4 linked regions of the Drosophila melanogaster genome follow. The protein of the gene in region 1 interacts with the protein of each later gene in a pairwise test. Each region holds a gene or a part of one and is shown in the gene's direction. Other genes may lie near its edges. The genes, in order: D, pdm2, vvl and vnd.

Evidence for each region.
Region 2: the proteins of D (region 1) and pdm2 interact in a two-hybrid assay, tested with the Drosophila melanogaster proteins (one study listed by BioGRID).
Region 3: the proteins of D (region 1) and vvl interact in a two-hybrid assay, tested with the Drosophila melanogaster proteins (one study listed by BioGRID).
Region 4: the proteins of D (region 1) and vnd interact in a two-hybrid assay, tested with the Drosophila melanogaster proteins (one study listed by BioGRID).

The regions. Positions count from the first base shown.
Region 1 is NT_037436.4:14,173,462-14,180,152, reverse strand, and holds D (dichaete), read left to right. Parts: upstream 1-1,532; 5' UTR 1,533-1,584; intron 1,585-1,660; 5' UTR 1,661-2,814; coding exon 2,815-3,963; 3' UTR 3,964-4,543; downstream 4,544-6,691. UniProt on the Drosophila melanogaster protein: Essential for segmentation and CNS development. May modulate the actions of other transcription factors, including gap and pair-rule proteins.
Region 2 is NT_033779.5:12,654,155-12,660,675, forward strand, and holds the start of pdm2 (POU domain protein 2), read left to right. Parts: upstream 1-3,010; 5' UTR 3,011-3,919; intron 3,920-6,097; 5' UTR 6,098-6,311; coding exon 6,312-6,521. UniProt on the Drosophila melanogaster protein: DNA-binding regulatory protein implicated in early development. Involved in neuronal cell fate decision. May act as an octamer-dependent activator of transcription.
Region 3 is NT_037436.4:6,787,067-6,795,876, forward strand, and holds vvl (ventral veins lacking), read left to right. Parts: upstream 1-3,091; 5' UTR 3,092-3,759; coding exon 3,760-5,043; coding exon of another isoform or gene 5,044-5,988; 3' UTR 5,989-7,875; downstream 7,876-8,810. UniProt on the Drosophila melanogaster protein: Binds to a DNA sequence element required for the expression of the dopa decarboxylase gene (Ddc) in specific dopaminergic neurons. Could also play an early role in specific ectodermal cells, and a subsequent role in the embryonic nervous system.
Region 4 is NC_004354.4:588,627-597,945, forward strand, and holds vnd (ventral nervous system defective), read left to right. Parts: upstream 1-2,415; 5' UTR 2,416-2,768; coding exon 2,769-3,325; intron 3,326-5,021; coding exon 5,022-5,680; intron 5,681-7,729; coding exon 7,730-8,685; 3' UTR 8,686-9,193; downstream 9,194-9,319. UniProt on the Drosophila melanogaster protein: Probable transcriptional regulator involved in the regulation of the proneural AS-C genes and the neurogenic genes of the enhancer of split complex. Could specifically activate proneural genes in the ventral-most neuroectoderm.

The DNA.
Region 1 (6,691 bases):
CATTTGCGCGATTGTTCCTGAATTTAATTAAAAAAGAATGAATGACAAAAATTATATTTGCGGAATACAACAAATAAAAATGAAACCAGCTCCCCAAATGACAATTGAATGAAAACAACAACAATCAACAATCGAAAACAACAACAATGCAGGAACGAACAATAAAACGCGAGTCTTTCTCTTTCACCGCGGAGAATCGGTGAATTTCGAATGGGTTAAGCGGTGAGGGTGATTTCTGGCGACAGGATAATGGTTAATATTGTATTCGAATAATAGTAATCACGGCACAACTTGACTCATCTCTCACCTGCCATTATGCGATCAAATTAAATTTACATTTATTTAATTTTCAACTGCACTCTGATACTGTATTTATACTGATAGATTTTTATCAGATAAATATCTGATAAATAAAATGTTTTTCAGTTTGCACGGCACCATAACAAAGAAAGAAAATCTATTATTAGCTTAAGTAATTATTAAATTAGACAGAAAACATATTTAGAGTTTATTTATCCAACTACGAGTATTAGAAGTTTATCATGAATTATTTTACAACTTCCACTAATTTGAACAATATTCTTAAGACAATTTTGATTGTCACTATTCCGCAAAAATGAAATTAAAAATGCATCAGCTAGCTTATTTATTTATTGAATTTGATAGCAAAACACATAAAGAGTATATGTGCTAATAATTTAAAACGTTTATCCTTATTTGTTTTACTCTTTACACTTATTTTAACTGGATTCTAAAAGAATATTTATTTATATAAAATAAGGAATTCATCATAAATTGTATCACAAATGTAACAATTATTTATGCCGCATGTGGGTGGGGAGCGATTTTAGGAAACAGGATCCTGCATTCATCCTACACTGTGTGCTATTATCACTCACTTAGTGTCCTCGTCTGCTAAGTGAAATGCTGAAAACTCAGAAAGAAAAATGTGACGCGGACAAAACTTTTTCCATTACACAACGTACAACAGTTTTTGCTTTCATTATTATTTGAGATTCGTTGTTGTTGCCGTTCTACGTTGTCCTTTCTTCCTTTTTTGGGGAAAGCAGACACAACGGAAACGTTGCGAACGCTGAAAGCTTTTTATGCTCTTACGCTATGGGCCAGGTATAAGAGCTTTGTAAATGCAATTGGAAATTGCACTAAGCTTTGGTGCATCGTTGTGTGGGTGCGTGCATGAGCAGGAGAAAGGCAAAGAGAAGGGTGGGATAAAAGCTCAAAGGGGAGAATGGTTTTACTTTTGGGGTTATGGAGTTTTAAAAAATATAATAGAATATTGCAACCTTATTCCTGAAAGAAACATTTTTATTAAAACAACGGCTCTTGGGGTCAAGATGTTGTTTAATGAAGCAATGTTAAACTCTTACAATCTTTGCATCACAAAAGCCATAAATTATGTCTTCGTTTCGAAAGAGAGGTAAATATGTGTGTTAACAAGAATTTGAAAACTTATTATTATTATTTGGGAAACTCTTTTAGTTACGAATGAAAAAAACATTAGTTTGCGGTAGATTTAATTGTCAATTATTCGATTGCCCTTGTCCTTTCAATCAACATTAAAAGGTTTGTTTTCTTTTGCTACTGCTTATTTGGTAAACCAAAAAGAAAAGCTGGCTAAAACATCTTTTCTATAATAAAGCACAGAGGACCGTTCTACATGCATCTGGGTGAAGATTTGCCTCACTTCCACTGGCTCCTTTGTGGGCTTCTTTCTATGGCCAAATAAGTAAATAATTGCAGTAATATCCTTTCTGGAGCGGCCAGGAAGAAGTGGCAAAAAGGGAACGGAAAAGAATGGAGAAGAATGGCGAGCGAAATGAAAGAATGCGAGAATGGAGAGCGGGGCAAGAGAATGGAAAGCGTGTTTCCATGTCCTTTTCACAAACTAAAAAGTCCTTTCACACACACACATAGTACTGACTACAGAGTACACATAGAGAACGGTATATAGCAGAACACAGACACCCACAATGGACAAAAATTCACACCAAAGACCCATTGTGATTGGCCCAACAAACACGCACACACATACGCGGGGAGAGAGTTGTGTTCTCTCCCTCTCTCGTTCTAACTGCATAGGAGATGCGGAAGTGCAACGCCGCCGTGCAAACAATAACGGAAATTGTGTGCCCACTGTGCGAAAATCAATGTGCTCCCGCGCTCGCCCTGGCTCTCTTTCTCTCTCTCGCTCCGTACTTTGAGCTCCCCCTGCCCCACAGGATTGGGGTCGCTAAATCGAATAACACGAAGCACAGCCGAACGAGAGCTGCCTGGCTTTTGGCTCTATTGAGCTCCTCTATTGAACACACCCCTCAATGGGCGAACAACTATAACCGATATAAAGGAGCCAATGGAACAAAGCCAGTGGAACAATGGGCCGCAAAACGAAAGAGAGAAGACGCTATGTGTGAGTGAGAGCGCGACGACGGCGCAGCTCTCTCCCAGGTAAGAAGCCCAGCCTCTATCCCGCTCGCACCCACGTGGCTTACGTAAAGGTAATGGTGCGAGGGTTGCTCGCACTTCGTGCTCAACTCTCTTCCGAGAGAAACGGGATTTGGCTGCAGTCGTGTAGGCCGCACTGGAACACTACTGAAATCAGTCACAAAAAAGCAGTCGATCCGAGCAGAAGCAAAGCAAGAGCAAAGCAGAAGCAAAAGCAAGACAGTAATTGACATAGAGACAAAGAAAAAATCTGAGAAATCACAGTTGAACCACAGACATATTGTGTTCTAGAAAGTGAAGTGTTGATCTTGAAAGAAGCAAAAGTTAAACAAAGTGTTCAAAATAGCTGGAATGGCCACCTTATCGACACACCCCAATTACGGTTTCCATTTGGGTCAGGCCCAAGGCTTGGAGGACTACGCACCGCAAAGTCAGCTCCAGCTGAGTCCCGGCATGGACATGGATATCAAGCGTGTGCTGCACTACTCCCAAAGCCTGGCAGCCATGGGCGGATCGCCCAATGGACCCGCCGGCCAGGGTGTGAACGGATCCTCGGGCATGGGTCACCACATGTCCAGTCACATGACCCCGCACCACATGCACCAGGCGGTCTCCGCCCAACAGACCTTGTCGCCCAACAGTTCCATCGGATCCGCCGGCAGTCTGGGTAGCCAGAGCAGCCTGGGCAGCAATGGCAGTGGTCTCAACTCCAGTTCGGGTCACCAGTCCGCCGGCATGCACAGTTTGGCCACATCGCCGGGACAAGAGGGTCACATCAAGCGTCCAATGAACGCGTTCATGGTCTGGTCCCGCCTGCAGCGTCGTCAGATCGCCAAGGATAACCCCAAGATGCACAACTCTGAGATCTCCAAGCGCCTGGGTGCCGAGTGGAAGTTGCTGGCCGAGTCGGAGAAACGACCATTCATCGATGAGGCCAAGCGCTTGAGGGCCCTGCACATGAAGGAGCACCCGGACTACAAGTACCGGCCACGCCGCAAGCCCAAGAACCCACTGACCGCTGGACCCCAGGGTGGACTGCAGATGCAGGCCGGCGGCATGGGTCAACAGAAGTTGGGAGCTGGACCGGGAGCTGGAGCCGGAGGCTACAATCCATTCCATCAACTACCGCCATACTTTGCACCCTCACACCATCTGGATCAGGGTTATCCAGTGCCGTACTTCGGTGGATTTGACCCACTGGCTCTATCGAAATTGCATCAATCCCAGGCAGCGGCGGCGGCGGCGGTCAACAATCAGGGTCAGCAGCAAGGACAAGCCCCGCCCCAATTGCCGCCCACCTCGCTGAGCAGCTTCTACTCGGGCATTTATTCCGGCATCTCGGCACCTTCGCTGTACGCCGCACACTCCGCCAATGCCGCCGGACTCTACCCATCCTCGTCCACCTCCTCGCCGGGATCTTCGCCCGGAACCATCACGCCAAATGGTATGGATGGTTCCATGGACAGTGCCCTGAGGCGACCGGTTCCGGTGCTCTATTAGAGTCGAGTTTTAGGTTAGAGTACAGAGTAGAGTACAATTGTTGACGCATTCCCAAAGTGATCCACTGGTTTTAAATCTTCAAAAGCTCTAAGTAAGCCAATCCTCCAAACCACTCCGCTTAATTCTAGTACAATCTTCGCGCACTTCAGATCTAGAGAGTAAGGAGGGAACACACAAAACATTCCTAGCCAATACACAAACTATAAATTATAATTTATTTAGCGCACTCACTATACCGCAAAGAAAATTAAAAAAGATAAACCTAATTGTAAATTAATTTTATTTAGTTTTAAGCATCGAGCGAGCGCCTCCTTCTTGTTGTTTTTTTTCGCATCAGCACCTACCTAAAATGTAGCTTATAGTTTTAATTGTCTAACCCTCTCAAATTGTAAATATCCCTGCAACTATTCGTTAAAGTCTCAGTGTAGCCCCAAATGCGAGGAAAGAACGTACATCAATGTATTATTGTATTATTAATTGTATTGTAAAAGTTATCATCTAAGCGAATAATGGTTCATGAAGGCCAACACAAAACAAAGACATTTAAAAGTGAATAAAAACAAAATGATTTGAGAAAACCAAATTTGAAAACCTGTTTATTCTATTTCAAATAATTTACAGCTTGGAAGATGTGAAACTGGCAATTGGTTTTGAAATGAATGATGATGATTCTCTACCAAATGTAATCACATTAAAGACATAGGTAGAGTTGTTGTGACTGGAATCAGACGAAGTTATCATATATATATATATACCGGGAAAAAGCTGAAAAACAAAAAAGATAATTTTAAGCCTTTAATAGAATGCATTTCCCATTTTCTTAGCCAGCATACCACATTTTACAGTTATGTTATAAATTTACTTTAAACATATGCCCAAGCTATATGTGACTTAAATTTTTCAGCTGATTATATTTTATACTCCATAATTGGATTATCATATTTAAATTCGAATTTGTGTCTGTATTTTTCATAACCTTTAAGATTATACAGGGTCGTGCTCTGAGCATGCATCAAAATTATCAACGAAATTAATAACGAATTTGAATATTCATAAGACCATTAACATAATATTCTCAACTGGATTGAGTGAGTCATTCGGATAAAGCTTAAAAACAATCATTTCATCATCACCTAATAATGGGTATGAATTTTTCTGTTTTGTGAGTAGTATTCGTTTAATATCAAAGTCCTATCCCGTTTCTGATCAAATTAACCTTGTCTCTGGGTGTCTTTACTATTATTTCGCTCATTTCTGTGTGAGTTTTTGTTGGTTAGTTTACACCCGCTGGGAAGAGATGAAAAAACTAAATTTGATTTGCCATTATACAACTATTTGCCGTTGTGTATTAATTTCTATTGATTAATGCGCTGTTTATTTTGCGCCTCCAAGACAGAATTCGATAGTTTGAACAAAAGGTCGTCTCTTCGCTCTTTGGATGGGGGTCACATTGTGTTTTTTTTTCGGGATCAACGGGGGGCCTGGGCCCTCTAAGACCTCACTATTCGGAGTGTAACTGAATACCCTGGCGAAAGAAATCAACGCGTGTTTTTCCGTTTTGATTTTTAGCTTCTTTTCGTAATAATAATAAGAATAATTGCGGTCATTAATAAATCCACTTGCATTGTCTTCCCCCGAACTCTGACTCTTCGATTGCCGTTTTCAAGTCTTTGGGAGTCTATTCAATGCCCTCTGCCCCGCTCCCCTTCGTTTTCCACGTTGTATGTCAAATGTGTTAAAATATCAAATATTGATTATTGTTGTTATTATGCGTATTGTTGATATTGGTCTTTTTTCCATGCCTTGTTTCTCCATTCTCCGTTTGCTCTGCAAACAAATATTTACCCAGCATTGACGTGATATTGAATAATTATATAAAAATTGGATTCTTCTGGCTTAGCTCTTTGGAACATTACTTTGTGTGCACAGCGGTAAAGGCTTCCAAAGGGTTCAACAATACATTTGTATTGTAAGGAAAGAGGTTTTTATAGTATTTTGATTGGATAACTATTTTTCAAATCTAGAAACTATTACAGATTTTGTAAATAATAAATATCAATTAAAAGAACGGCATCCGCATTTTAAAAATTGCATTTTAATTTGACATCCTTTAGATAATAGCGGCTCAAGAATTCGCGCTGCTGAAGTAACATATTGTATTTTATTATTCTACTTTATTACATTATATTTCGTAACTACTTTGAATCTTACAAGTTAAATTTTATGCCATTTTTCGCATCATAACATTCTGATCATAAAACTAGTTACAACCATAATCAGCCATTAAAACAATCTATGATCAAATATCGGATGTTGCCTTTGCCGAACCCAAACGGAAGTGATTAACTTTCGCTAAACGCCCAATCCATCCATCCGACTAAGCCAAGCTTAAAACATAAGCCCGCTCACGCCTTCCTGATCCATAGTTTAAACATTTCATCCAAAAAAAATGATGCACGAATAATTGAAATTCCATTTCAACTCGTTGGGTTTTTAAGGATTGTCGAGAACGTTTTACGACCCATCTCGCCTACGCCTCCTACTCCCAAAAGCCACGCCTTTCGTCCCATTTGGTCACGTCTGTATACAAATATAATTTGCAGCCTCCCGGTTGCTTCGATTTTTTTACGACTTTATGACCGGGGATTAGCGTCCGGTCCGCAGAAAGGAGTGTGCGAAATGTCGCGAGATTTTTATGCTTCTAGCGCTGTCTGTTTGGGTTGTTGTT
Region 2 (6,521 bases), on another chromosome or scaffold:
AGCGTGGAGAGATGGAAAAATATTATTTTTCATAAATTTTAAAATATACCATGGGCAGGACTGGGTGAGCGAGTGAGAGGGCGAGCCTTGTGTGTGTGAGCTTCTTTTGTCCTGCTTCACCCGTGTATAACGGTAAATGCCAGCCATACGTGGTTATATATTTGTACAATATACATATGTACACGTCGAAGGCAAAGTAGAGGAAAATGTATGCAACATTTTACAATGCAAAAGCCATTTACTTGGGCAACGTAGGAAAGCCAAGGGAGATGGAAAACTAAGAGCCCCAGAGAGAAAGAGAAAAAGGACCGTTTGCGTGTTGGTGTAAGTGTGTGCCGCCTGCATGTGTGTGTTTGCTCGTGAGGCAGTCAGCATATGAAAAATGAAAAGTCACAACTGCGAAACGAAAAATACGAAAAGAATACCGTTGAAATACAGCCTTAGGAAAGGAAAAAAAATATTTCTCCTCTTTGTTTCCCTATATACAACAAATACCGCCCGCAAGCATTTATATACACATAAACATCATGGGAAACTTTCAACTTTTATGTCGCCTCGTCCTCGGTGGGTAATGTAAATAAAAAGAGACAGGAAATGTTTGCGATATGTAAGAGCACACGACACAAAAAAAAAAGGAAAAGTGCAAAATTCTAAAAAGTTTCCACAGAACGCGGGGATGATATGGCAGGAACCATAACTTAGGCACCCGTCAGCTTAGCTTTGTTGGTTGGTCCTTAGGTGCTCGCCCTTCAATATGAAAAATGAGCCAGGGAAGGCAGATGAAATTTTGGGGCTGGGCGATTTTTTCAAGTTTTATGGGGCGTATACGGAATGTGGAATACCAAATGGAAGAACTAAGGGCACAGTTCAAGAGGTGGTTGTCTACTTTTTCGAGCGTGTTAGTTAGGTTCTGCATATGGTAAAAATAACATTTTTTAAATATTCAAGTAAACACCTGAGAACATATGAATTAGAGCTACAAAAACAATATTTTTTTCATATCAATAAAGAAAATTACATTTTTACTGCTTATAAGAAGAATTTTTTAGTTTTTATTATTTACCAATTATCCTTATATAGGTTTTTTGAACGTACACCTATTGTACACACAAGTGCTGCAAGTAAAATCTTCAAAAAGTACGCTCGCATCAGTTTTACTCTTCCCCAACTTCTTTATTTCATAACTATCTTTTGATTACCAAATAGTTACTCCGTGAATAGTTGGGTCATACTCTTCAGAACCTACCCCCACAAACTAAACCATTTTCAGACGAAACCCATCGATTAGTTGGATTTAAGCATCTCGAAACAGCGACAACTTAAATGCTTACAAAACAAGAATAGTGGAAAAGAGGATGTAAAGGAGGCTGCAGAGGAACCAAAACACAAGCAGACGGGCAGACAAGTGAATAGAAGTGACAAACCAAAAATAAAAGGGCCAAGAAGGGAATTTCCTCGGCGCTAATCAATGAAATTAAAGCTGCGGCCAAGGCGAAATATCTTTAAGGACTCACTACTGAGGGGGGGCGGCATGGGGGAGTGGAACATATAGAATAGTGAGCGAGCCAAGCTACTGCCAACTTTAATGAACGGAAATTAGCAGTCAAAAGGTAAAAGCCCTCTCGCTCTCTTTTTTTCACCCGCAGCATCTGGACGCCGCGGCGAATTCGCGCACATGCACACACAATGGCCAACGGCGAAATGGAGAGAGCTCCCCACGAAGAGCGAGCATGCGCCGCAAGAGAGCGCCAAAGCTCCATGCCGATTGGCTGCCGGCTGCCCACTTTGGGTGAGTGTGTTTGTGCGGGAGAGAGCGCGCTTGTTGGATATATTTCCCCAAGATTTTCTACCTCTCCCTCCGCACTTTCTCTCTCTTGCGTTCTCTTTCTGTTCAGGCATAAACAAACCATTTTGAATAAAATCAACAGCAACAACAGCGGCAACAACTACGTTGTTGCAACAATGTGGATCCCAAGTTGCCGAGAAAAATCAACTGATTCTACACTTAGAAAAGTTTTATATATTGGTTATAATACAATTTCATTAAAAGCCTATTAACATTATAAATTTACTTATAATTGTAAAAGAAATGTATTTAAAATACGCTTAGAACCTTTATATATAAATGTATAAATTATAATATATTCTATTTAGAGTAACAATAAAAACCAAATTAAGTTATACCAAGACGTGTTTGTGAATATTTGTTAAGATAAAATATAGAATTTAAGGTTTATTTCTGTTAAATATTAAAATGGTACAATAGAAAATGACTGGAATATATATTATATAATTTTTGTAAGTGTATGGTTACTACAGTTGCTTGTGGTGCTTCTTCTTCCATTTATTCAGCTAGTACTGCTCTTCTTCTAGATGCTTTGGCCTGGTCAAGTTGCATTCAATTGCAGTTTTTCAGTTGCCACTCCGTTGGCCGATTGTCGGTTGTCGTCCTCGCGACTTTTCTTGTTTATTTTTTCAACTAGCTGTGTGTGCGTGACAGCAACAACAATAATCTGAGGACGCCTCTTGTAATTATTTTAATTTATGCGTTTATCGCTTTTTGCCTTTTGCCGCCGTTCAGCGGATTCTGTTGGCTATCTGTCTGCATTTGGTTCGTTTTTTGCCTTGACATTCGCATTTTGACAGCACGGCGAATAATTCTCGGTTCTGCCATCATTGCAATGTCAATTTTTTTCATTTTTCATTCGCTGATATTCCGACTTGTCCACGGGGCGTATGCGTAACGCGAGTTGTGTTGTGATTTCTGGCAAGTGCAATGCCGTCGGAACATTGATTTTGAAAGGAATTAAATCTGTTTTGCCCATAAAATCATCTGCTTTAGTATTATATGTTTTATTTTATAAAACTTATTATTTTTATAAAAGAAAGAAAACGGTTTGGTATATAAGCGGCCATAAAAAAATCAAAAAATCTTGTATCTTGTGCCGAATAAATAATGAATCATATGATGAGAAACAGTACTTGAATCAATAAGAATTTTAATATATTTTATTATATTTTGCAAACTGAATTACTTGTATACCCTTATTCGGTTACTCGTATGAGCCTGACTCCTCTTCTCCTTCTCAATTCCCTTCAAGAGGAAATTTTCATGCCGCTCTAAACTACAAATCAACTTAGGAGCCCCCATATTATTTCTTCCCTCAACGAACAGAAGCAGCGGCAGTCAATACATACATAATTCGGAATCCGATAAGAGCCACCCACCCATATATACATATATAGAACACTCACACACACATATGCAGTACTATTTTCCACCCACACAATACAAGCTTTTCATTTTAAAACCTCCTGTAAAAAAAAAGAAGCAAGAGAAAGAAAAACGAAGTCAAACGCCCCAAAACACCCACGCACCACCCCCTCCACCTGTTTTATGGCTCCCTTTCCCCACCCCCACAGACACACACACACACACAGAGGCACATCGCAAACAGACCAATACACTGGCACACTCACACTCACTCACTCTCTCCAACATCTTCTATAAAAAAAAAGTATTTTTTGTACTCGCTTGACATTTTGTGGATACGTCGGACGTCGTCGGAAGTCGTCGCGAACTTTGCTTCTTTTTGCTCTTTCTCTTTTCTTTAGTCTGCTTTTTTTTCACTTTTTACTTTTTGCCCATATCTCCTTGCGCGTTTTTTTAAGTCAGTCGTTTGTCGGAAGTCAATCAAAAAGCGTGTCTCGGAGAATTGTCCCAAAAGACAGAGATCACCTCACCTCACCTCGACGGCCCACAGAAAATGCAGAAAGGGCGTGAAGCTGTCGCCATTCTCGTTGGCAATTACAATTTATAAAAGTGTGGCAAAGTAAACAATTAAATTATAATTCGTGACAGCAGGCGAAAACCAGTAGAGGAAAAACCAGTAAGGAGGTGCGCCATCTTCCAGCCCAAGTGAGTTTAACTCTTTTTTTTCTTTTGTACCCACTGAGTGTGTCAAGGAGCTTGTCTTGTAACGCCCACACTCAATGCGATCGATGGATCAGCCAGATGGATGATACAGATGCCGCAAGAGAGAGAGAGAGGGCAGAACTGTTTCTTCTGGCCTGTCAGATTCCTAATGAGCTTTCCCAAGTGTCTGCGCGTATTTCAGCGTCCTTAATTGGCCATATGTGTTTGAGGGCCAACAAGTGTCCCGATATGGCTGACTATGGTAGTTGGACGGGCGAACTGAATCCATCATAGAGATCTTGGTCGGGCTTTAGCTAATCATAACAAAATTGTGACCATGTTCTGGTCAAATCTTTAACAATGGAAAATCTTAAGGTTAGATCAAATTAAGATGCAAAATGTATTAATAACAAGCAATTATCTTCAAAATGAGGCAATATATATATATATATATTGAATATAGTATTTGATTTAAAGGATAGTTTAATAACTTTTTCTAAATTTGTTCCATTCCATATATTTTTCATAAACCTTCTGTGATTTGTGTACCCTATCTTAGATGTGCCACATATATATTTTTATGGGTTTTTTACAATTCCACTTCTGGCAATGATTCGATCGATAATCACGACAAACAATTTCTCAACCGAAAGTCAGGCAAATCACATCATCGAACTAAGTTCCCTCGTATCTTTACAACCGAACCGTGTACACCCAATAGAAAATTATGAAAACACAAATTCCAAATTGAAGACAAACACAATGGCAATGTTCGGTATTATATGATCGGCGATACGTTTCCAATTGGAGTAAGCAATTGTGTTTAATTTTAAAACAAGATGAAGTTAAACAAAAATAGCGAAAGCCCCGATATTGTCGGCCCAATAAGGAATTACCGTGCCGATTGGGAATTATTGAAAGTAGCACCGAGGAATAAGTGACTGCATTTAGTCGGCGTTCGCTTTGATCATACCGGCAGATATATCGATTCCTGGCAATTGGTTGCTGACATGCAAAGAACATAATTTACCGACTGGCAAAATTGATAAACAATCTTCGTGTGGCACTTTGGTTGCGGCCAATTTGCCGTCGATACTGACAACTCAATTGATTTGTTTACAAGTGCCATTAATGTTAGTTGCCCCGACCCGCCTCTTCGTGGCTCATATGTACATAAACCCGTTTGGTAATGTATGTAAATAACCATTTCCATAAACGCACTTGCACTTTTCAGCACCGTATCTTATCTGGCCAAGTTGACTTGTTGTTCGGGGCATTTGATCGTTGCGCTTGTAGTTTAATTTCCCATTTCTATTTCCTTTGATTTCATCGCCTTTTGCCGTGATTTTTCGACACCCACCCACCCACTCCTTATCTCATTTGACTTCAATTTGTTTTCAATTTACAACAATTTCGTTTCAAACCACATTTGGTAAATGTGCCCATTTTCATTCTCCCATTTTTTGTTTGCATAATAATACAAAGTTTAGGTTTTAGTGCCTTTTATGGTGTCTACTGCTGTAAAGTTGTATACAACCACTTTTCACTTGTGGGAGCTGATTCGACAGGCCATGGGAAAATTTAGAGAAATGTTTGGACTGCTCAATAAACGAATTTAAAAGAGCAAACATTTAAACTATATAAATTGCGATATGTACTTTTATGACATGTTTACTTTCGAGTGGTATGGAATTTCTGTAATTATTTAACTGAATGATATAGTTTCTCACATATTAACATTTTCATTCAATGCTAGGTACAGTAAAACTTCTAATCAGTAACTTACTTTACATTTACCTTTTAGAAGAGAATATTAACTTTTAAACTTTTACCCTTATATATTTTTTTATCAAAATACAAACTTGTAATCGCAGAATGGGCTGACAATGCAATATACTCATGAGCCAGTTAATAAACTAAACTAATTAATCTCAGTTATAAGGTATACAAACATCCGTTCGATTTCAAACAAATCCACTGTTTCCACCTGTAACGTGAAAAGTCACGTGTACAGGAATGTGGATGGGTCAGTTATTTTAAGGGAAAAATCAATTACTTCCGCTATCGAGTCGTAAAGATCACAGCGCTCTATGTATTTAATAACAGCTTTTTAAAGTGCAGTTAACAGCAAATTAGGCTTTCAGCCGAAGAAGACACTTTTAATTATCAACCCATTTGCAGGCAGCAAAGGAGGCAGAAGGAGGAATACATATCGCCAGCGGTCCATGGGTCAATATCATAATCTGAGGCAGCAACCGGAGCGGCAAACAAGTCGCCACAGGCAGCAAGGAGCAGTTGAGTTGGCCATAAATCAAAGCGACGCAATTTGCTGCTGACGAACTGCAACGCAACAGCGGCAACAAGAGCAGCAGCATCAGCAGCAGCAGCAACAACTATGCCATTACTGCTGGCAACAACACTTGCCAACAATTCCCATCATCAACACTTGAGCACAACAGCAACAGAGACAGCAGCAGCAGCAGCAACAGCAAAAGCAGCCGCAACTGCAGCAGCAGCAGCAACAGCAACCATGTTGCTGACTTCGCCGACAGCAGCAACTCATTGCCTTGCTGCTGCAACATCGGCAGCAGGTGTTAATGTTCAA
Region 3 (8,810 bases), 7.4 Mb from region 1:
TATTATCTGTTAATGGTTGAAGGGAATCATGTTTCAAATGATTAGATGGCTTATGGATTTTCTGTCTTTAGTTAAGGTTACATATTAATTTTAGAACACATTAACTTGTGCCCAAGCTAAAACTTCTTTGTTTGTTTATAGCTTTTATTAATTTGCTTTTAATTGCCTTTTTTAAATTAGAGTTACGACTAACACTTAAAGATATACACCCACTGTGCCGAGTGGCATATGCAATAAAATAATGCTCTTCATGCCGAAAATCCTGTTCAAATGCATTAAATACAGCTTAAACCGATAAAATTACTTTGCATTTGCCACAAATTAGTCGACGTGTTTTATTTCCCCCCACAAATATAGAGATTCGCATACTTATCGAGTGTGTGAGCGAGTGTGCATTAATTGTATTGCGCGATAAACAAAGCGATCAAAAGCAGACCAGTTTATATGTTTTGATTCGGAAATTATGGCACTTTAATTACCAAAGCAGACGTTGAGGTTTTCGGCTCTCGCTCGCACTCGCACTCGTTTGCCGGTCGGGATGGCAAATTAATGCAAAATAAGAAAGAAAATTATGCTAATAATTATAAACAAGTGCGGCCCGAAAACGAGGTGTGAGATAGAGACAGCCGACCGGAGAAGGAGACGGGTAGATGGTAGATGGCCATATAAAAATGCAGCCGAAATGCTAATCGAGCTCATTATCATCCAAATCAACGGCGCCGTGGACGCGGCCGCCACGAGATATCTTCCATTCATAAACGCAGCGCTTAGTTGTATATATATATGTATATTTTCCTGCTCATTTTTTACCATCGCATCGTTTTTTATTTACTCGCATGCGGCGCATAATTATGCAACAAGTCCTTTGCTGGCCACAAAAACCAAAAACGCGGCGCGTGCGCATTTAGCATATGGACAAAAAAACGTAAAGCAGAAAAAAGTGACAGAATCACCGAGGGAGGATGGCCAGCAGAAACAGGATTTCTTCCTTCGCTTCGACATTTGAAATTTAAATACCAGCGTTTTTTTTTTGTTTTTTGTTTTTTACTCACTCGCTGTTGTTATTTAGCGCCGCCACCTAATTATCATGTAAATTTTTGTCTAAGGACCAACAATGACTGTGACTTTATTTTGTCACTGGGGTTTTTGGGTTGGAAACGCTTGGCTTATTAATTATGCCCAAGTGCGTGGCCAAAGGATATGGTCATGGAAAAAAAAACGTAAACAAATTTCATGCAAATACGCTCGAACTTGTCTGGCTTGCGTCTGCTCGGCTGGATGACCTTAGTTTGCATAATTTTTTGATTGAGCTCTTGACCTGCCTCAAAGGGGTCTAAAACTATGCTAAGTATTTTGTGGTGGGTGTTTATGGGATTCTTGGGCTAGTTATGTGTGCCAGGATTTATTAAATGAGAAAATATATGAGAGGGTAGCTTTGAACATTTTATGCATTAATTAAATATATTTTTTAAGTGGGAAAATTCTGAATATATGTTGACATATTTAAGGGAAATAGTGGGAAAATAATAAGTAATTTTTTTTTTAGAAAGGTAAATTTGGTTAAATAAGCTATTTTATGTCTGCATATATACATTTGACGGCAATTGGCTTTGAAGGCGAAATAGATTTCCATTGATTGTGTGCAGAGTTTCATTCATTCATTGTTTTAGGAAACATAAACTTTTACGGATATTTTTCATTTGATTCTTCGCATTGTCCCATAACGCTCCGCTAAATCAAAAAACTTTAAAACTGCACAGCCAGAAACAAAAGTCAGTATTCCAATGATAACTTTAACGATGGCAATTCCTTTAGCTATGCAAATGTATCGCTAGTTTCGCATTAATTTCGCAAAACTGATCATAGAATCAATGAAACTGACGGATGAAGTGAATCAATATCTTTTGTCAGTGAAACATAATTTAACTGTAAAGCAGTCAAAACACAGTCACAAACACAATGAGCAAAAGAAAGATATCAAGGTGGAAAAGAAAGGTATATTTTATGTAGGCAGCCAAACGAAACTTATATGCATATGAAAAAGAAAATTATAAAATATTCATCGGTAAAATGGTTATTTTTTTAAACGAAAATTTTAAATATCATTTCATACTAAACACTAATTTACTTTCTTTAATTTAATTAAGCTTCACTCACACATATTATAAACTGAAAAAATACAAATAAGATTTTCTTATATAACACATTGGTTAAATATTTAATGGGACACGGTCTATATAAAAAATATTTTCAACAGAATTCAGCGAAATTTGAATTGTCCAAATTCAAGTTCAAGATTTATTTATTTTTCATATTGATAATCAAATATTATTTGCTCTTAAATATTTTTACTATGCACACTTTTTTGGATGAACGATAAATAGTTAAATATTTAAACTGTTTATTTGTTTAATTCCTTTTCTACGCCACGTTAGTAATATGTTCTTCAAATCGCAATGGCAACCACTCCAGATGTCCCCCCTCCCAAACAAACACACACACTCACAAAGCCAAGGGAAAAGTTGTCTGGCCAAGGAGCTGCAAGGAACTGAAACAAAGCTCCCCGAACGGGAGAGAGAAGTCCTGGACGCAAAAGCTCCAACTGGGAGATGGCACTACGTGTAATCCCTGTGTTCCCGATAGCTGGACTCGAAGAAATCGAGAGATGCGCCGTCGCCGTTCATATCATCTCTCGCCCTCTCTCGCTCGCACTGGGCACTGGGCAATTAAAAATGTCACTCTGCATGGGAATGCACTGAGGGAACTTCGTAGAGCCGGCTCTGGTATTATTTTTTCATCTCATATATTTTTTTTGTTTTTGTTGGTTTTGGGGGCGTAACGCTGGAATACAGCGAGCCCAATAGAGCGCAAGTCTCCCTTCCAGTTGCTCGGTAGAGCGTCTATCTCGCTTGCCGCACCAATGGCGGTGCTGCTCGCACACATGGAACGCTGGAAGGCCAGCGGACAAACTGGTTTCGCTCGCCGGGGTGTGTGTGCGTACTGCGCTCGTTGGTGTGCGTAAACGTATCGGTGTGACGTACCGCCGAGCGTCGAGAGCGCTCAACGTAGAGCTGCGGTGCGAGACATGACGTTAGTTCACTTCGATAGCTCTACGAGTCTGCACGTGAATTTTCCCTGGGCTCTCGGCTGTCTTGACTGCTCAAATCTCACAACACACAATCTCAAATCTCAATCGGCATCGAATCGGTCAAGCAACCCAGTAGAAACACACATTCGAGAAATCTCAATCTGTATCTGAATATCAGAGTTCTGCGTTCTGACCACTGAGTTCTATCGATGATTTAAATCGTTGCGAAAAATCGCCACAAAAAGTGCCAAGTGTTAGAAGTGCTAAATGAAATTCGAAAATAAAAAAATCTAAATAAATAACCAAATAAAACGCAGTTAGCTCAACGCTAGTCAAGCTAAATAAACGTGAAACCCCAAGCAAATTGCCGTCGGATTTTTTACTTAACCCAAAGCTGAAATAAACTTGTTGAACGCGTTCGAGGGCCACGCCCCCAAAAAAGCAAACGTCGAACCCAAAAAAAAACAAAATAAGCGAAATAGAATATTTTTGCGCCTGCCACGTTGCCCGTAAAAGACGTCAAGACGGTTGCCTCACGGTTCGAGTGGAATGAGCATAGGGACCCTGGTCTTCCTTTCGATCGATCGGTGTACAAAGTCGTTAAACTGAGCCCCAACTTGGAGCCCTACCCCGCCAGCGTGGAGGGCCTGAACAGCCCCAGAGCGGTGGGGATGGCCGCGACCTCGTACATGACGCCGCCGAGCGGTGATCTGGACATGGCCCTCGGAGGCGGTGGCTATCACACCTCGTCGCCGCGCTCGGCGGCTGATGCCGGTGAAATGAAGTACATGCAGCACCATCATCATCATCATGCCGCTGCCGCGGCAGCTGCCCACCATCAGTTGCCCTCGTCGCCATCGCCCAATGGCCAGGGCAATGGTGGCGGACTTGGATTGGGTTCCGGTTCCGGGTTGGGCTCATGGAGTGCCCTCCATCCGGATCCGTGGATGCAAACCCATCATACGCACCATCTGCCCGCCGCCGCTGCCGTTGCCTCGGCCGCTGATACCGTCAAGCAGGAGATGTCGCATCTCTCGCAGCAGACGCGCATCCAACAGGGCATGGCCTCGCCCCATGCCGCCTGGCATGCCCCCCATGCGGGACACTATGCGCCAACGGGCGGGTCACCGTTGCAGTACCATCATGCCATGAACGGAATGCTCCATCATCCGGCCCATGCGGTTGCAGCGGCCCATCATCAGAGTGTGGCGCCACTGCATCATACGCTGCGCGGGGAATCGCCACAGCTGCACATACACCATCACATGGGCGGCGGCGATCGGGATGCCATAAGCGGCGGCGAGGAGGACACTCCCACGTCCGATGATCTGGAGGCCTTTGCCAAGCAGTTCAAGCAGCGCCGAATCAAGCTGGGCTTTACCCAGGCCGATGTGGGCCTGGCACTGGGCACTCTCTATGGCAATGTGTTCTCCCAGACGACCATCTGCAGATTCGAGGCACTGCAGCTGAGCTTCAAGAACATGTGCAAGCTGAAGCCGCTGCTGCAGAAGTGGCTGGAGGAGGCGGACTCCACAACGGGTTCACCCACGTCCATTGACAAGATCGCCGCTCAGGGGCGTAAGCGCAAGAAACGCACCAGCATCGAGGTGAGCGTGAAGGGGGCACTGGAGCAGCACTTCCACAAGCAGCCGAAGCCATCCGCCCAGGAGATAACCTCGTTGGCCGACTCCTTGCAGCTGGAGAAGGAGGTGGTACGCGTGTGGTTCTGCAATCGGCGGCAGAAGGAGAAGCGCATGACGCCGCCAAATACGCTCGGCGGCGACATGATGGACGGCATGCCGCCGGGCCATATGCATCATGGTGGCTATCATCCGCATCACGATATGCACGGCAGTCCGATGGGCACACACTCCCACTCGCACAGTCCGCCCATGCTGAGCCCACAGAATATGCAATCCTCGGCGGTAGCGGCGCATCAGTTGGCGGCCCACTAGCAATCAGAAATCCAGGAGTCGAACTCAGCTGCAGCTGCGTCCACTCCTGCATCCCTCAATAGTCTAAGCCAGCAGCAACAGCAGCAGCAGCAACAGCAGCAGCAGCAACACCAGCAACAGCAGCAACATCAGCAGCAGCAGCACACACCGAATACACCATCCTCCAGTGCGGGATCATCGGCTACGATGACCAGCCAGGTGATGTCGCCGCAGAGTCCGCTGGGCAGCTCCTCCGCTGGCAATCAGGCTAACAACAATAATAATAATAATAACAACAACAATAGCAGCACCAACAATAACAATAATAACAATAACAACGAGGAGCAAGTTAAACACCACCAGCAGCAACAGCAACAACAGCAGGCATCCAGCATAGCAGCCGCTGCAGCAGCCGCCATGTACATGGATCCCATGCGCTACCAGCATCCGCACCACCCGCATCCGCATCCGCACCAGCATCCGCACCTGAATCCCGCCCACCATCCGCACCTGTTCCACACGAGCGATCAGTTGCAGCACTCGCAGCAGCAGACCGTCGGCGGCACCAGCAGCAACTCCCAATTGTCACCGGGTGCCGGCAGCAACAGTGGCCTGCCACTCCAGCCGCCCAGTTCCGCCTCGCCGGCCGGATCCGCATCCTCGGTGCTTGGTGGCCATCTCAATCTGAATCCGCTGCACCAGCACCACCACTATCAGCACCACCATCACCAGCAGCACCACCACCACCAGCAGCAGCAGCAGCAGCTCCACGCCCGCCGACTCTTCGAGTTGAGTCTGCAGTTTGGAGCGGCGGCGGCACCGGGAGCGGTACGGCACTTTAACAGCTTTGGCGGGGCGGGCGGAGCGGGTGGCGAATAGCATTCGTCGGCCGCCTGGTTCGGCTATGAGTCCTCCTAGGATTCGGCGTCGAATGGGTGGCCGCATTTCAAGCGGGAGCAGCCCTAGAATCGTACAGTCGAACTTCTCTAACGCGAACTCAGTTGGTTCGATTCGAATGATCGCAAAAGTAGCTATCTAAAATTTAACTAGCTGTGAGCATTTCAGAATATTTCGTAAGTCATAAGAATATTTTTGAAATTTTTCAATATTTTATTTCTGCGGTGTTTTGAGGTTTTTTAAAATTTGAAAATAGCATTTCACAGTGTTCTTAAAATCTGTTACTAAATTGGCGACTGAAAAAAATCATTTTAAACATATATACTTAAACAATATGAACCATATTGAGTTCCACGTTAGACAAGCTCGACTGTATGCAAATCTTTAAAGAATAGAAATAAGATGAGGTCCGTCGATGAGGTTGAGAAATCATCTTTTTTACCAGTGCATTAATCTGTGTTAAACTTCAGCTTAAATAGGAGCAGGGAGTGGAGGAGGTGGAGAAGATGGGGAGGCTGCCATCCACCATTTTAGTTTGTTTTAAAGTTTGAAAAACTTGCTTAAATTAAATCAAATTAACTAAATTAAAATGTAAACGAAACATTTCCTTTGTATAAAAGCGAAAGAAACACGCAATTCAAATCAAACGTGAAACCAAGTGATGTTGTTTTAACCTAAAAACTAAATGCTAAAAAATTAAACTAAATGAAAATAAAAAAAACAGAGAAACTAGTTAAAAGTGCGACCCAAGTGTTAAAGAAACCAAAAAAGACAAGCAAAGAAAACAAATTCCTCAGCTGCTCTCCATAAGCAAGGTAAATGTTTCCATGCCCAAAAGTCCACAAAATATTTTTTCGTTCAACACTTTGTCGCCGTTTAGATCAAGTAAAAAAAAGGCTCAATGAGAAAGAAGGCAGCGGTGGGAGAACTCGGTGGGTTCTAGATAGGGTCTAGGTTCTTAAGCAAGCCGTGTTTATATATATTATATATATATAGCCAGTAGATTGTACTCTAAAACATCTATAAACGAACAGAACGTAAAACAGAAAAAGAAAAACGTAGAATTTAACGCGCGGCGAAGTAAACAAAAATACGAGATGAAGGAAGGATTAAGTAAAATATGAGAAAACCCCAAAACATCTGTAAATAAAAACTTACAGTTAAGTCATATTTTTTAGCTTTAAATGCAATTGTAGATTTTTTAATAAGCCCCCCTAAGAGAAAAATCATTAAAAATACAACCACAAGCGAAAAAAAAATAAACAACATTTACAAAATATAAATTTTAATTTTTAGGCGGTAATTTTTAATGAATAGGCACGTGAAGTTTAGTTACTTAGTACTGTACTTTCTATATAAGCAAAAGGAAATCGAATGGAAAACAAAAATGAATATAGCTAAATCTTAAAATTTAAACAAACCAATAATAATCAAATACCACAAATGCTAAATTGTAATATATTAATTGATGTACATTAAAACAAAAGGCAAACTAAATGCTAAACGACAAACTTGAAATTATTTCAAAAACAAAAATAAACGAAAATTGTGTAAAAAAAATCATCTTTGTGTTTTTTGATATACGTTTACATTTATGTCTACTTTTTCTATTTTCTTATACAAAAACCTAAAAAGAAAATCAAACCTTATCCTTTGGTGTAACTTTATATATTATAGAATCTAACGAAATTTTTGTTTAGTGTACTTTGTTTTGGTATGTTGAAAACTATGCTGTAAGAGCGAGAGAAGCGAAGCCGAATATTTAAGATTAAGCCATGCCCTCAACTGTATAATAAATTATATAGACGTACATATATATGCAACAGCAAAGTCAACAAAGCGGTGCATTTCCACCTACACATACACACACCCACACACCGAGGAAAACCAAGAAGAAAAAACTGAAAAGCAAAAAAAAACTCTTAAAAAAAAACAAATAAAAAAGAATATTATTCGAAAAAAAAACGCACCGTCCTTTTATTATTATTTAATTAGCGGCATCATTTATTTGCATTTACTTTCGTCCGCTTTTTGGTTGTGAAGTTTATGAGTCGTTGGTTTTGACAGTTTTACAGGAGTTTTACGGCCACCTTTTGCAGATGCTGGTTACGATAGGGCGTTTATATCGATGAAATCGCGATAATTGCGTGTATTATTAATTTCGTTTGTTTGCTTAAAGTGTTCGAAAAGCCATTAAATAATTAAGTGGGCACATTATAATGTGATTGCCTACGTCAGAGAGGGAGCAATTGGCAATTAACTAACAACACAACTCGCAGATCGAGTAATACCGCTCGTTAATGAAAGTTGCCATTAAAAAGCGTGGCATTTCGTGAAATTACCCTTTTATAAGGCCTTAAGTGCTGCTGGAAGCACCTGATGGATCTCTGTTTGTCCCTGGTCAATGCGCAATCGTTGAACAAAACAAAAAGAGCACCGACGTCAATCGAAAGGCGATTAAAGTGACAATTTGCCAGATTTACGCGGTCAATTTAATTTACGAAATAAGTTGGGTGTATTTTTCGTTTGCAGAAATCATTCAAAACTTCCCAATTCGTCAAGGTATTAGTATTATGTTTAAGTCCTTAAATTTTTAACAATTTAAGTTGTTTCCAAAAATGAAAAACAAATTCATGAAATACCATTAAAGTCGTCTCATTCCACCTGCACATTGCCCCCTGGCCGCCTTATTGTCATCTAATGTACCGCACGCTTTTAACATTTAATTTATAATTTAAATGCATATTTCATTGGATGCTGATTAACAATTTTGTGCCGAAATGCTATTGGTTAGTAATTCTGCATAAAAATTGCATCAGCCCGAAAAATACATATACATACATACTCGTATAACCCGAGCCCTCTCACTCGCTTTTGTGTGCGAAATAAAT
Region 4 (9,319 bases), on another chromosome or scaffold:
GGCAGTGCCCAAATCCCTAAAGGCCGAGCAGGAGGACGACAAGGACGAGAGCTACAATTGAAGTTGTTTGTACTTAGAAATAAGCACAAACAAAGTAGTTTGAAGTGCGGAAAATACAGAAGCATGCATACAAAAATAAATAAATACACAAATAAAGGAGCAGAGGGCAATAAAAAACAAACGAGTTTTTGCGGGAATCGAATTGAATTCGTGTGTAATTCGAATGCCAGCGCTCCACACAAACACAGATAAATCCATGAGATACTAAAACTTCCTGCGGAAGCTAAGCCATAACAACAACGGCGACGCACACAAAGGTTTTACTTTGATATTAAATGCAACATCATTATTAAGCCCAATAACAATGGCCAACAACGAACGCCCGGGAAGATGGGCGTGCGCACATGGGAGAAATTTCCCCGAAAAGTCCTTTGGCGTAACCAAAATTTCCCAAACATGCGCGTCAGCGCACGGTGCGCACGGTATAACTCTCCTGCTCGCACGCTCTTCCCATTGGCCAGGCGGCCATGACGCGCCCACTTGACGGCGACGTCGTCGTCGGCAGAGGTTATTACAAGATAAAATTCTACCCCCTCCACTTACCACCTCCATTCCCCCATGGGGAGAATAATGGTGCGAAGTCATGAGCGACAGTGGGGTGCCCACTTTTAGAGGGCGGATGCTCGTGGATAGGGATCATGGAGCTTCCTTCATATACACAACATATATTTATATATATATATATATATATATATATATATATATATATGTATATGCATATTCTGATATATGTATATAGCCCCCAGCCCATATGTAAATGGGGCCAGCCCCAACGGACTCTTGCCATGTTTTCAATTGCCTCGGGCGGATACCCCCAGTTCAGTCTGTCCTGTCGTTTACTGCTCGTGCTGATTATGTATATTCCCATACTTTACTTTCGACCTCCTCGCTCGCACTCTCCCTATCTGTGAGTGTCCGGGGTGTGTCCCGAAGCCACCTCTCAAGGAACGGCGCCATGTATTGGCGTTTGAAGGATCTGCACTAATCACGAGTTGGCTTACGAGTATGAAATCGAAATTCAAATTGCACGAACAGCGACACTCCTTGTACATAAGGCCCCTATGTCAGTGCCAAAGTGGTCTATAACAGTTCCGTTGCACGCAAGAAATTTATTGCAATTCCCAAAGAACGTACCGTGAAGTAAACTAAATGTCCAAGTATAATAGCATACCACTAACACGGCAGAAGAAAATAATGCCTTCGCAAAAATAACGTTCTTTCACCGGTATGGTAATGTGAGAATGCCTTTAAAAGGGTTTTCGCAGTGCGCCTTTTAAGTATTAAAATAATAGTTCGTGGTTCAAAATAAGATTTCGTTGCTGACTAATATAAAATCACAAATATGTGATCAATCCTCCCCAGATCTAATCATGGTTGGTACTCAAAATCTCAAAGTATTACAACCCGACTGGGATTTTAAATGATGAATTGATCTGATTCTTAAATAGCCAACTACATATAGAAAAGGCGAGAGCGTAATTCCAGAAAATTTTTCTTATCGCCCTCGTTCCTCAATAGGATAATGGCTGATATCACCATCTGATATTATCGTGCTAAATGCCGGTCACAATCGCATGTCTTGCCCTGTCCTGTCCTCTCCTTGGACCCACCGCATAGGCGCCACAAGTCGGGGCTGATGTTCCCGCTCCGGAAGTCCAGAGTTGCAGAGAGCTGATAATGATAAATACAATTAAATGACGCGGGGAATGCTGACAACATCAAGTGCAGAGCACTGCTGGAAGAGAACGGCCCAATCCCAGAATCCCTATCTGGGAACGTCAATCCGACGTGCCTGAGGAGGTTCGTGAGGCGCTACAATGGCCTCGCATCCACACTCACTCTCGCGCACACACAAGCAAACATACACAGAGGCTGCAGCACACACACACTCTCACTCAAGTGGCACTCTTGAGAGCGGCAGAGAAAGCAACAGGAAAGAGTTAGAGCGGGATGACGTGCGGCATAAGGACTCGGTTCACATCGTACGTCTCGCTCTGGCGACGAATGGTGGTTGGTTCTCTCGGTGGTTGAATAGGCCACTCACATTGTTGCCGTATCCTTGTTGAAAAGGACATAAGAAGCCACTTAGCGCGCCCAACAAAGCCGAGAGTCTCTCCAGTCTGGCTGTGTGCGTGTGTGTGTTTGTGTATGTGTGTGTGTGTGTGCGACTATCCGAGTATCTGCGTTATGTACCCAATGGCAGAGGGATGCAGATACAGATATGCACCACATACATAGTGATACCCAAAGACACCCCGAGCATACGACCTGGTACTTTTCTGCCGTTGGTTGTTGGGTTTTGGTTATTGGCTGTTCTGAAGCGACTTGGACTCGTGTTGAGTTCTTGATGCCTCGTTAGTTGTTGATGACACTTCAGTTTGGAATGTGTAGAGTGCGCTGCTCCGCGGACCCGTGCAACTGAGAAATCGAGAAACGACTCGCGACCCTTGAACTATCGAACTTTCCCGGTGATAAACTTAAACTTAAGCCTAAATCGAACTATGTCTGGAATTTAAGTTGCCCTACCAGGATACCCGCTTAATTCATCGCAGTGCTACCCAGTAACTACACATAAACATATTTTTTTTCCGTGCTCCGAACACCGTAAAAGCTCCAAAGTGGCGGAGAAACGCAAAAGTCCGCCCACGCCGCCACCCGCGTCGCAGCGTAGTAAATCAAACAGTGGTTCCCCGATATCGCAAAGCGATATGACCACGTCGGCGTCCTTGGAGAGGACCCCCTCAAAGCGGGATCGAGATCGCGAGCGGGACAACAGCAGCGGTCTGGGCAGCGCTGGCAGCTTGCCCGCATCGCCCCAAAGCGCTATCACGGTGAGTCCGTCCTCCCCAGCCACGCCGAAGCGCCCGCTGCGCACCTCAACGCCCTCGCTGGAGCGGAAGAGGGAGCGTGAGGATCGAGAGGACCGGGAGGATCGCAAGGAGCGGCAGGAACGGCACGAGCGAGACAGAGATCACGAGAGATTCGCCGCAGTCTTCAGCACCGCCAGCACCACCGTGCCCACGAACACAAGTTCCAGTTCCGGATTGGCGCCCGAACAGCTCCGCATTCCGACGGGTGCAGCCGCCTTCAGCGGATTTCCGGGGCTCCACAGCATGAGTAGTCTTATGCTTCCATCGTCGGCGGCTGTGGCCGCCGCAGCAGCGGCCCCGTTTCTGCCCTGGTCGCCCATCCTGCTGCCGCCGTGGAACCACGCCCTCCTACCAGCCGCCTTTTATCCGGCGGCCCTGCGAAACGCTTTGCCTGGGTAAGCACAAGGATTCCAATGGAATAATTAAAACATTGATACCTCTGGAGTGGTGAACACAAACCTATGATTCATATGTCTTGGTTACGAAAAGCATATTTTGGTGATACGTTGACACAAGTCCATTCTAGTTCTTCTAATTATGACCTCTGTTTTGTGGGCTATTTATAAACGCTTAAGCATTGGTAACACTTTGATGGCATGGATCTGGCCAAGATATGGATAATAAGGACATGCCTCAGATTGAAACAAAATTACTGACCACCGACAATACGTTTGCCTTTCATGGCTGACCACTTTGTAAAAAACAGATATGGTTTTCAAGGTTTTGGGTTCCCGATTAATTTTCTATGTCTTTCTATTAATTCTCCTAATCTAATAATTTGGAAGATTGGGCGTTGAAAGCAGAATCTGCAGAATACGCAAGACCATTAATTAATTCTCCTAATCTAATAATTTGGAAGATTGGGCGTTGAAAGCAGAATCTGCAGAATACGCAAGACCAGCCATACTTTGCAATTGCCTTCGCCTAAGCTCCGACTTAAAATCACACCCTGCGAGCCTCTGCCTCCATATTAGTGTTTAGATCCCATATAGCTGATGGACTTGTCCGGCTAATCCTGGTAGCTCTTTAAATTAACCAAGCGGGCACAGCGCGCAAGTACAGGACACAGGGTATAATTCCCCGCCTCTTTGATCTGGCAAGTACTCAAGGTCCTGGCGAATGGCGGTTGGGAAATTCTGGCTTGTTGTTCGACCCTGGCTTAGAAATTCCCGTAGGTGAGAGCCAGGGAAACCCCAATCGGGAATGACATGTGTACGACAGACATGGGACTCAGATGCCTTCGAGATACTGGCGTCACACTGTCTGGCAATGGGATTTCCGCTCAGGAGGACGGGGAATGCCCGTGTAGCCTGTCCATAGCGTGGGAAATTCGCGAGTCGGGGTCTTCGGGAAAACTCGAAATGGGAAAACCGGAAGCAAGCAAACTTGCGCCAACATGTGGCACGACCTGTTTCGACCCGTAAAGAGTCCCTGCTGACCTGTGCTGACCTGCACTGACCCGACCAGGTAGCTGCGATCCTTACGAGGCGGATTTGCGTTTAATTGTTGATGGTATTAGGCAAATCAAAACTCGGGGTCTGACCGGGACTAGGTGTCAATAATCCAGCGATTTGGGTGCACTTATTCAAAGTTAATTCCGGGGGAAATGTGCGCGTTTTCGGTTCCGAAGCATGCCTGCAGGATGCACACCCCCCACCTCCTTATCTTCTTAACAACGGCAAGTGCAAAAATCTGTGAAAGTCAGAGCGCTACAGGTAGTGCAGGTAGTTTCCTTTGCATATCCCGACCAACAGGGACCTCCTTTTGTTAAACCTTCCGGCCATTCACACGATTGACACAGGATGTCGCTGCAATAAGCATGAAACAGGGAAAAATCGTTCCACGTCCTCTAAGGAGCCATCTTTATACTCGGGGAGTCATTAATCACTCGATTATATGACAATTTGCCGGGACAATTAAGAAACTACACAGAATCTCAAGAAAAACTATTACAACTCATCTTTGGTATGCTTTTTGCCTTTTTTTCTTTAAAACTGTAGGCGAGTGCTCAATTGAAATGAGAAATAAACATTTAACTCAAATTTTTAGTGTTGAAGTTCAGTTAGAATTAACATATTGATCTCCTTGCAGCTTATTCGATGCAAAGGTGCCGTCGTCCCAACGCTCTGGCTTCCATATATCGGACATCTTGAATTTGGAGGGCTCTGAGCTGAAGAATGCAGCAGCTGCCGCCGCTGCTGCCGCCCACCATGGCAGCGATTTGAGTCACCACTCGGCCAGTGAGTCCACCAGTGGACATCGCGGCCAGGGATCTCACACCTCGCCTTCGGCGCTGTCGCCCACGCCAGCGGGCGTTTCCGCGGACGAGCACCACAATGGCAGCGGGACTGGGGGAGGAGCGGGAGAAGCGGATCACCACAGCACCACCGAGCATCACGCCCCTCCTAGCCATCCGCAGCAACAGCACCCGCACCACCAGCAGCACCACCACCCTCACCTCCTCCTCCCGCAGCAGCACCATCAGCAGGCGGTGGCCCCACTCCCTTTGGCGCACCATCAGAGCGGCGAAGCCCAAAGCCACGCCCATGCCAATGCAGCCGCCGCCCATCTGCTGGCCAGCCACAATGCAGCGGCTGCGGCTGCTGTGGCCGCCGGCCAATATCTGCCCAACCTGCCCAAGAACTTCCCGGGGAGCTTTGGCGACGAGATGTCCTCGTACCACCACATGGCCCAAACCATGCTGCAGCACTCGGGCAGGAGTGCGTGGATCAAGGAGAACGAGCTATACGGTGAGCGAATGTTTCAACTCATAAATGGATACGCATGTATCCATTTTCATTTGCTCCATTTCCAGGAGATAGCTCCTGGCCATATCAATAACCAAGTTAGAGTTGGCTTTTTGAAGAAGCAACACTTAAATGGCAGGTTGTAAGCAAGTCTTTGGATCCCAAACAAATATCCTTTTGAATCGTGGGTAGGCAAAAGAGCAACGAATTAACTTGGTTTCAAAATAGACTCATCAATGAAGTCCGCAGGAAGCTCCCTTTAAGAAATTTACAATTTTCGACTGCATTTAACCCCCGATTAACTGGCCGACTAATGATACTGTTCCGTAACTAACCACTCACTGCTCCCGAGAGCCAGAGAGTTGAAGCAGTCGAGCGATGAGGCAGCTGTATTTGCATACCCTGTGGACTCGACGGATTCACGTGCTTCCAGGGTGTGACAAGCTTTGTTTAATTCTGGCCCTGTTGTGTTTTATTTTCGTTGGCAGTTAACTGCGGATCGAAATGGGTATATAACTGGGAATCAAGGAGCAGGGGTTGGGCTTCCCCTTTAATCATGACTAATAGTTTGTATGCGCTTCACACTTGAGGATTAGCCCTGTTGTTTTTCTGGCAGTTGACGTCCTTCGTGTCCTTCGGCCAGGACATTCAATCGCTGCCCGCTCGATCGCTTCTTGTTGTTGCGGCCCAAACATTTCTCATCCTGGAAATTTATGGCACGCACTTCCGCCTCATCCCTTCCCACTTCTGTTATTATTCCTTTATTGTTTAGCTACAAATTATAGCTGCTGCCCACTTGCCGTTTTTTTATTTTCTCTTTTCTGCTCTTTTTTTGGGAGTTTCCACAGCTGTGAAGGAGTCGAGGAAGAGTCATTTTGATTATATTAAGTTATTAATTTGTTGAGTTGTCATGGTGAGCGCATGGCTTCCGTGGCAGGGCAAATGCGGCTAGCTCGGTGGGAGCTGATAGGCGAGCATTAGGAGCTCCTACGACCCTTGCATTTGTTGTTTTATCAATGTCCCACGGGGACATCACCCCGGGCAGGTGAATACACACATTAGAAGACATTTTATGAAATACATTGCAATAGGAATAGAAATGCAGATAGGACGCGTTCCGATTCTTTGGAATGCTGCCTTCGCAGCACTATATCCAAAAGTTCGAAAGCTAGGAAGAACTAAAGGGCTTCTTTTTGATTTTCTATAGTTACATGCCTCGTTTGAAGTTGCCTGAATACTGGCATAAGCCCACTTCTAATACCTCTGCAACCGCAGATCCCGCCCCAGAATATCAGAAATAGCCACACCCGGCGATAAATCACTAAATCACTATCTGTTGGAAGTTCGGAACTCTTGCGAAAGGGGGCGAACCGGAAGAGACCCGGCTACCATTGATGTGTTTGAGGTCTGGCTTTTGTGTCGTTGTCCCATTAGTATCCTGGTTGCTGGTTTTTAGTACAGGCCCAGGATCAGCAGTCATTCAGCGAGAGATCGAAGCGATCGTTTCAGGTAGACGACAAGGGAATACCCACCTAGGCATGTATTTTTGTATGTATTTGTGTGCGATCTCTGTTTGTCTCCGCCTAATTGGCGTTGTTAGGGTGAAGCTCGTAGGGGATGGGCAGGGGTTGATTTGACGCTGCGGACCATAAGGAGTGCATACATCTGGCATTTGACATTTGGATCGTTTCCGACCACAGCTTCATGTTGCGCCTAATCCAATTGCCGTAGTTGCGATACTGACTTCCCCCTTTTGTCCCGAATTCTGCATGATCACTTGGACGATGTGGAGGGGTGTGTCGCTACATTAATTTACGGCTAAAGAGGTTTCTCAATTGCTGACAAATTCCCACCCAGGGCTCGCACCCTGCCATTGCCTTTCCATTCTGTAGGACCATTGTGAAAAATGCAAATAAATAAATGGCTATCCCAAGCAATTTATTCCTCAATTAGCAGCATATTAAGAAGGGAGTTTTCTCCCGGTTTTAGCCATATATCTACTACGAAGAATTAGCACATTAACCAAAACCTTGATTTCCTCTTTGATTTCAGGTACCCAGCAGCCCGCCAGTCCGGATAGCACCTCCCCAGTTACCTCGGAAGTGTCGTACACCTACATTGGTTCCAACTGCCAGACATCGCCTGCCCTTTCCGGCGATTACAAGAGCTACAGCCGGTCGGCCGATAGCGATGCACTATCCGTGGGCGACGCCCTGCACACCCTCCATGGATCCTCTGGTAATGGAAGTGCCGGAGGCGCTCCGACGGCCCATGCCCTACACAACAACAATAATAATACGACAAACAACAATAACCACAGCCTGAAGGCCGAGGGGATCAACGGAGCAGGCAGTGGTCACGACGATAGCCTCAACGAAGATGGCATCGAGGAGGATATCGACGACGTGGACGACGCCGACGGCAGTGGCGGCGGGGATGCAAATGGATCCGACGGTCTGCCAAATAAGAAACGGAAGCGACGAGTCCTGTTCACCAAGGCGCAAACATATGAGCTGGAACGTCGGTTTCGACAACAACGTTACTTGAGTGCCCCGGAACGCGAGCACCTGGCCAGTTTGATCCGCCTGACGCCGACCCAGGTGAAGATCTGGTTTCAAAACCATCGCTACAAGACGAAGCGGGCGCAAAACGAGAAGGGCTACGAGGGTCATCCTGGTCTACTGCACGGCCATGCCACCCATCCGCATCACCCCAGTGCCCTGCCATCGCCCCGTCGGGTAGCCGTTCCAGTTCTGGTGAGGAACGGAAAGCCCTGCTTGGGCGATAGTTCCAAACTGGGAGCCGACTGCGTCTCCGTGTCATCAGCCACCGCCACCGCCATGCAGAATGCCGCCGCCCATCACTTGGTTGCCCTAAATGGAGCGGCCGCCTATCAACATGCCGCTGCAGCGGCTGCCGGCCTTCACGCCCACGCCCATGCTCATGCCCACGCCCACGGACACGGCCATCCACACGCCCACGCCCAGAGGGCCGCCTGGTGGCCCTAATATTGCTAGGAACTGGCATTCACGGGACTGGGGGCGGATAGGTGGATAGTCAGGCCCGTGGAGCGATGAGCCAGAAGACCACGCCTCCAGATTCCCAGTGAAGCCAAGTAAAAGAATATACAATAATAATTGAAACACATACAAACCCCTACTAGCGCTCAGTCTCCCGGACTTATCCTTGAGTCGTTTCTGTACATAGTTCATATATATAATCATATATATACCTAAATGACATAAATTTATCCATTCCTGGATATCAGACCAATGCCCATGACAAAAGAAAGCTACATTTCCTTCTAAATAAAAATCAATTTGCATAATACTAGTGTCTCTTGTCAAGCGCATTTAAGTCGCATAAAATTTAGAAGTAGATTCATTTTTTTTATTTTTTTTTTTTAGCCCTAAGTCCAATCCCAAAGATAAAATGTGTAAATATAATATAAAAATGAAGTAAATCTGAAAAATAGATTATTTCAAAAGAGAAATAAATAATAGGAAATATGCAACTAAATCTGTACTATATACCATATAATCAATTCAAGCGTAATAAGTGTTCAAATTTTTTAGACAAAACTTATTGGCCTTTTTTTTCTATGAATACATATATAATATAGGCACTTAGTCCTAACACATA